3 linked regions of the Kluyveromyces lactis genome follow. The protein of the gene in region 3 binds, or shares a complex with, the protein of the main gene of each other region. Links are inferred from orthologs where the notes say so. Each region holds a gene or a part of one and is shown on either strand. Other genes may lie near its edges.

What was found.
Region 1: RPC34 (region 3) and RPB5 share a complex: the UniProt entries of both Saccharomyces cerevisiae proteins name them as parts of the RNA polymerase III (Pol III) complex. The link is inferred for Kluyveromyces lactis from reciprocal best matches to the Saccharomyces cerevisiae genes RPC34 and RPB5.
Region 2: RPC34 (region 3) and RPC11 share a complex: the UniProt entries of both Saccharomyces cerevisiae proteins name them as parts of the RNA polymerase III (Pol III) complex. The link is inferred for Kluyveromyces lactis from reciprocal best matches to the Saccharomyces cerevisiae genes RPC34 and RPC11.

What each region holds. Positions count from the first base shown.
Region 1 is NC_006042.1:1,968,619-1,970,874, reverse strand, and holds RPB5 (DNA-directed RNA polymerase core subunit RPB5), read right to left. Parts: upstream 1,298-2,256; coding exon 650-1,297; downstream 1-649. Other genes in the region: RIB7 (2,5-diamino-6-(ribosylamino)-4(3H)-pyrimidinone 5'-phosphate reductase), read left to right, coding at 1-388; DUF1 (Duf1p), read right to left, coding at 1,839-2,256. UniProt on the Saccharomyces cerevisiae protein: DNA-dependent RNA polymerases catalyze the transcription of DNA into RNA using the four ribonucleoside triphosphates as substrates.
Region 2 is NC_006042.1:1,707,772-1,709,889, forward strand, and holds RPC11 (DNA-directed RNA polymerase III core subunit RPC11), read right to left. Parts: upstream 887-2,118; coding exon 548-886; downstream 1-547. Other genes in the region: HEM13 (coproporphyrinogen oxidase), read left to right, coding at 1-100; ORC2 (origin recognition complex subunit 2), read left to right, coding at 1,263-2,118. UniProt on the Saccharomyces cerevisiae protein: DNA-dependent RNA polymerase catalyzes the transcription of DNA into RNA using the four ribonucleoside triphosphates as substrates. Component of RNA polymerase III which synthesizes small RNAs, such as 5S rRNA and tRNAs.
Region 3 is NC_006040.1:383,748-386,539, forward strand, and holds RPC34 (DNA-directed RNA polymerase III subunit C34), read right to left. Parts: upstream 1,699-2,792; coding exon 607-1,698; downstream 1-606. Other genes in the region: NNR2 (NADHX dehydratase), read left to right, coding at 1-474; putative ATP-dependent permease ADP1, read right to left, coding at 1,986-2,792. UniProt on the Saccharomyces cerevisiae protein: DNA-dependent RNA polymerase catalyzes the transcription of DNA into RNA using the four ribonucleoside triphosphates as substrates. Specific peripheric component of RNA polymerase III which synthesizes small RNAs, such as 5S rRNA and tRNAs.

The sequences.
Region 1 (2,256 bases), on a different chromosome or scaffold from region 3:
CAAGATGAAAACTTTGTTTGATTCTGGTGATGGTAAAGCACCAATTGTAGTCGTGAAAAAGCTTCCAGAAGTTGTAGAAGAGAACGTTGACTATTTAGTGATGCAAACTAATTTTACAGGTAAAGTGGACTGGCACGATTTGTTCATCCAATTGAAATCTCAATTCGGATTAAAATCCATCATGGTTGAAGGTGGTGGGATTGTTATCAATGATTTGCTACAGAGACCACACCTTATCGATGCCCTGGTCATCACCGTTGGTGCCACCTTCTTGGGTAGTGAGGGTGTTGAAGTGTCTCCTCTTATTGAAATTAATTTGAAAGATATCTCCTGGTGGAAGGGAACAAGGGATAGCGTGTTATGTTCACGTCTTGTGAGCCATTCCTGATCTTTACCTGTTTTCCTAAAAATTCGAATTCTTATATCAATGAACTCTCTTAATTCAGACATGCTATGTTCAAAACGTGATTAATCATTTCCTTAAATAATTGAAAAAAGAATCGTAATTAGATTATGATATCCCCTGATGGGTTCTCATACGAAGAGTGTGTTTAAGGCCCTATTAGTTTCTCTTGCTCTAATTTGGTCTATTATTATACACACGCATTTACTTTACTTAGGGTTGGGGAATGGCTCTTTTTAATTGCTCTTATAAACAGATTCTGTAACTTGCGTAACGTCCAGAAGTTTCAGACTTTCTAATAATTTTTATAACCTCGCCTCTTTTCAAACCAAGGTATAATGCTACTGGGTCCATTCTTTGGATTCTAGGCAATTGAGATTCCTTTAATCTATATCTTTTTAATAATTCCTTCTTTTCAGCCTCACTTAACCTGATATGCTTTGGGACTAGTTCGTGATGTGTAATATTGACAACCAAAGATGCTTCTGGGAAAGTCTCGATGACTGCTGGTGCTGCAGTTGGTAAAATCTTGTTTGCACTTGGAGTAATACCACTTTGATAGATGAATATACCAGTTTGGAAGTTCTTTTCCGTAATATGAACCACAAAATTCTTCATCGTCTTCACACCAACAGATGCTTCATCACAGAATTCCACCCATAATGAACCCATCTCAGGAAATTTTTCTATTGATTCTTCGGTTGGATTGGACTGGAAAGACATCATCTTACGTTGTGGCTTGCCCATAGAATCACAGTATTTAGCCTTAAAATCTTCTAAACTCAAATCTATTTCCTCCTGGGTAATGAAATATCCACGGTCCCTAACCATTTCCTTCACCGTTTTAAAAGCTCTCCATAGCCTGGAAATGTTTCTCTCCTGCTCTTGATCCATTGTTACAAAAATTGTGCGTCACTTGCCTTTGATATCTTATGAAACTAACTTTTTCCGCTTGAAGATTAGTTCGTATTAAATTCTAAAATGCACAAACAAGTACTAAGAACTCAATTATCGATATGCACAAACAAGTACTAAGAACTCAATTATCGATATGCAAACTAATCTTACCCCTTAATTTCAACCGGTACAAGGACTATTCGGCTACCTAACTTCAATCTTTTCTTAAATTTCAATCAACAAATTAATGGATTTGTTTCTCATCGCTTTCTAAATTTTGGAAAATTTTGGCTGAAAAGAAAAAGAAAAACTTCAACAAACCTTCGAAATTTCAATGCGATGAAAGAAGGAAACAGAGCCAAACCATCAAACTCGTCCTTCATGATTTCAGTCACGTGCCTGTCTTGTGTTGGTATGGAATGCTCTGAGTCAAGGGCGGCAGGTGTAGTTCTATGTTTGTATATATGTCTATATTTAGTTATATATATATATATTGATAAGCCTGGGTGAGAACTTAGTCTCACAGTCTCTCTTAATTTTAAGTCGGTTTACGTCTATATTCAAGAACAATGTCTGTGTTTGATTTCCAGTATAAAGTGCGTATAGCACTCAGGGTGATATCGTTTTCTAGTACTGTTCCTTTGCACAAGATTTCTAACCATTCGCTTGGATCTTCTTTGTTTTTCATCTCAGGTGTCTTTGATTCGAATCTATCCACTATGTAAGTCTTGATCTTTTTTGCCTTTATCATATTTGCAGCTGTTAATCTAACATTGCTATCGTTAATCTTCGGTAGCATTAAGGGTGATTCAGGTGGTTTAGATTTTTTGTGGAACCCTGATCTTTTATGTTCTACTACTAGTCTTTCAGCCTCTGGCGATTGTTGCGTTTCCTCCGATAAATGAGCCTCGTCCTTCCAAGGCTGGATGATGAATGTGATTTTTGGGTACGTCTTA
Region 2 (2,118 bases), on a different chromosome or scaffold from region 3:
GCCTGTGACTGCTTCGTGGTTGTATGACCATCATCCTGAAGTAGACTCTAGAGAAGATAAATTACTCCAAGTATTGAAGAACCCTGTTGAATGGGTTTGAATGCCTTTATTTATGTAACGTCTCATGTATTTAATTCTTAGTTTCTAATGATCTTAATTTCTTACGCTTCAAAAACCAAGTCGGTCGTTAGTACCATACAGCGTTGCACGAAATGGTTCTGTCAGGCCGTCGACAATACTTTTATTTTGTCTTGTTCAATCTATTTGTAGATTTATACATTATATTACACTTTGATTCAGAAGAAGTTTCATCAAACCCTAACAACTTCCTTTTGCGAGCCTAATGAAAGCGTGATCTACCTTTCATCATTTGAAAGATTAAGCATGCGTTTTTAGCTGGGCGAGAGACAAATGGCAGCGATTAAAGCCGAACATTTATCTTCTTGTCAGTTTTTTGCTCTAAGCGATGTAATAACTGCTAAGAAGATCTATAATATTTTGTTTGATGCGTATCGAAATCAAAGTAAATTTCAAAAATACACAATCTCTAGTTCTCTCTCCATTTATGACCACAGTTAACACATTTGTAGAAAGTTGTCATAGGTTCATCTGCAGATCTGATTTGCAACTGGAAGAAGTAAGCTCTTTCACCCGCACATTGGTCATGGTTCGGACATTGTGCTGCTGTCTGGTCAACATTATCCCATGCACCTTCTCCACCTAAGACATCATCAACTTCTTTCCTAGGGAGGTTCTTTCTATCGTATACCTCTATCCCATCAATTAAAAACTGGTATGGGCATGATCCGCATGCTAGTTTATACAGACCTGAATCAGCTTTTGATACCAACAACATGTTATTGCATAATGGGCAAAACGAAAGCATCCTACAACTTAATTCTCAATGTCAGACTCCTCAAACACGATACGTTAACGCACCGTTACCTGCCCATAAGCTCCTTCAACACGTTATCGCATACACTCTAAAATGAACCTCATCGCTATAATTATTGAGAGTAGGTTTTAATTCTTTCCTCATCTCATATAGAAATTTTTCAGAAAAAAAAAAGTAGAGCTTCATGCCTTTAACTTTGAATCGATATTTATGTTGACATTTAAGGTTTGTATGTCAAATATAGTGTATAGGGTTAATACCTGTGGGCGAGGTTTGATAGAAGAACAACTCCCACATTTATAAGTTAGTTTCCATTCTCTAGACTTTAGAGTATTTGATTATCTTGGAGCGGTTAAACCTTGAAAACATGACGAAGAAAGAGTGCAGTGATAATGAGGAAGAAGAAGAAGACATTGATATTGTAAATCACCAAGACATTTTCATATCACCTTCCAAAGTAAGATATCAGTCACCGAAGAAACTTAAAAGTTTTGATTTTCTTTCGCCTTCCAAAACGGTACGACCTAAGTCACCCAAACGATCGCTCACATTAGAGTCTGTTAGCATTGAGACTGAATATAAAGATGAAGAGAGTAGGAAGCACTCATCGACAGATACTGCAACTCCCAGGCGAAGGCAAAGGAAAACAACCAAGAGGGTGAAGTTGGAGGAAGATGATGCCATTGACTATGTGTCAGATACTAATGAATTGATACACAATGACGACGAATACGAGGATCTAAAAATTAAAATAGATTCTAATGAAAGCTCACCTAATAAGTCGCCTAGGAGAAAACTTACATTTAATGCAGAACCATCACCCCAAAGAAAGACTACCAGAAATACAGTTCAAAGGAATAAAATTATAGACGATGATCTTGCATACGACGATATCCAGCAGTATAAGCATCTGAAATTGAACTTGAACCCTAATTTCAAACCGACTAAGTTGCCAAAGAGCGATAATAATGACCAAACATCTGATGAACAATCTCAAATATATTTTTTCGATGGTTTCGAAGGTTTCATAGATCAGACCAAGATCCTAAAAACTGATAAAAGATCCAAGAACTCGATGTCCTCGGCACCAAGTATTTCCAGAGATGAATATAACATTCTTTCTCAACTTTCCAATGATATATTCCATCGTTCATCGACAAAGGCAGTACAAAAAATACATGAAACACTCTTTCAGCAGTTTACTTTCGAGTTACTGCAGGGAT
Region 3 (2,792 bases):
TATGGTGATAATCGTGTCGTTATCACTCCGAATGCAGTCGAGTTGAAGCGAATCATGAATGCGTTGAACGTGGATTCGGTGGAAAAAGTTAGTGAGAAGCTTGGATGTATCACTGTTGCAAAGGGACAAAATGACATTATCGTTAATTCTCAAGGTGAACGTTGGGAAAACGACGTTCAGGGATCTATGAAAAGATGTGGTGGTCAGGGTGACACACTGACCGGTATAATCGCAACCATGTTTGGTTTCTCTCGTGCAGTGCATGATTTCAAATTGGAAACAATAGTAGAAGAAGGTAACGGAGAAAATCTTCCTTGGTCCAAAATGGCTATGCTATCTTGTTTCATCGGATCTACTGCAACAAGAATGGCTAGCAGGGCTGCTTATGATAAGGTAGGCAGACAATTGCAAACTACTGACATGAACAACATGGTGGGAGAAGTGTTCAATGAGTTATACCCTCCTTCACAGTGAACCACTGAGAAAGAAAAAACAGACTCATAAGTTGAACGCTTTTATTATTAGTTTGTAATTAGTTCTTGGCATATATACATACATCAATTACGAACACTCTTTTTATGACTAAATTACCTTTGCATCTAAACTTCACAGCGTCCATTCGTCAAAGTATAGGACATCTTTATCTGAACTGGAAGCTGCCATGGAATTTCCGTGACTGAATATAGAATATTCTTCTCTTTTCGAACTTTGTTGTCCCCCAACAGGTTGAGTCATCTGTAAGACACTTTGCAACGTTACTCTGAAGCAATCAAAAGATACTTTCTCCAACTTATCGTCATATACAAGAACTTCGCACAGTGATCTAATATCTGGTTTCGTTAGTTGTTCTGTAGATATTCCTGATTCAGAAATAAATTCAAGGATCTCTTCGATCGTGGTGTAACTTTTGACGTTACTGGAATAGAGTGCGTCTCTACCGTTTTCGTCGGAAAAGTTGTTAAAACCATTTGGATATGTTCTTTCCGCTGTGAATCTCCAAACGATGGTCAGAAGACTGTTTATAAACTCAACGTCCAATTCACTATCTGTGAACCACGGACCACCTGTTACGTCAATGGATGGTTGCAAATTGTAAAGCATGTATATCTTTCTGGTTGGGTATTTGACACTCTTTACACTCTTTACGTACCTCTGTGATTCAAGTGATTTTAAACATTTCAGAACCACATGTTGGTGTAAATTTGTCTTCGCCTTGATCGTTTTCGTCCATATACCCTCTCTTCCACTAGCTTCGATGTATGAGTAGACAAGAGCCTCATCTGAGCTCATCCCGCTTTTCTTTTCTGCTTCAGCTGCATCTACTGCTTGGAACTTAAGTTCTTTATTCTGTTTCACTAACTTCAATAGATTCTTATCCAAAAGTTCCTGAACATATTGCATTAAATCACTTAACGAGCAGTTGTCTAACATGGAAGTTAACTCTTTTTGAGAGAACAATTTACCAGTTTCTTGAGAACACATCTTCTCATGCAGCTCTCTGGCTGGATCAGAGAGCTTTATTGTTGAATTAAATAACGAATTCATTATCGGTTTCGAAGGAAAATACACCGTTTGCGTTCCTAACAATAATAGAGGTAGGCCTAAATAATGGTTCAATAGATCAGTTTGTAAATTTGTCAGGCGTCTGACTCTTTCATCAATTATTAGTTCGATAAGTTGAACCATTCCTCTTCTCATCGCGTGCTATTATTTTGAGCTTTGATCAGTTTTTTTTTTTTGAATCCATTCCAAAAGAAAAGCGGCAAACAGATGGAAGTTATACACACAATATAGTCAATGGAGAACATAAAGAGATCCGATACATGAAAGTACTTCTATCAATAAATGAACTTCCCTGTACTAGGCTTACGGTAATAAGAGTTGTATTCTTTTGAATATATATGAACTTTCAGTATTAAATAGATTCTAATTTTGTGTTTGAGTGGCTGTTCGTCACTCTTTTTATAAGCTCCATGATTTTTTGATCACTTTTGCTCAATAACTATCAACTTAAGAGCGAAATAGCCGAATATTAGGAATATGACATTGAATAGCGCTAGTATTTTGACATCGAACACTAGGTTTTGTACGATGAAACCGAATGTGCTTAGGATAGTGGCACCTGGGATTTCAATATTGAGACCATACTTCTTCTCTCTAAGAACCAAAGACTTGACTTCATTGATAATCAAAGATTCGTAGGCGTAATAGAACACTGAAAGGTTCTTCAAATATTTGAACAGAATATTGTTAATATCCTTAGTGTTGATGAATAATCCACTGAATAACAAAGAACCAAGGATTATCAAAACACTGATTATAATCGAGTTATTCAAGTCTTCAAAAATGATACCAACTGTCAAAATCTCCAGTGAGATGGCAAGGTTGAATAAGATTAGAATACCTTCAAATTTGAAGAACCCATTATCATTCATATTTAAACCAACCAAAGGATAAAGTATTAACCCAAGTAGGATAGGTGGTACCACACGTAATGGAATAATATCAGATAGTATTTTTGAAATGTAATACGCTAGCGGAGAATAGTAATGATTGGAACGTTCCTTGATAAAAATCAATCTTTCCAAAGAGAAGGAGCTTAACCCAGTGAATGTCAGGAAACCGAAATACGTTAAAATAAAGAAGAAAAGGCCTAGTCTGTTTTGGAATCCACTGATATCGTTTTCAACATTATAGTATAGGATACCCAGGAATAAACCCAAAGCTACCGTCAAGACGTAGTTACCTAACAATAGCTTTGGATTCCTGCAGACATTTTTGAACGTTCTTGA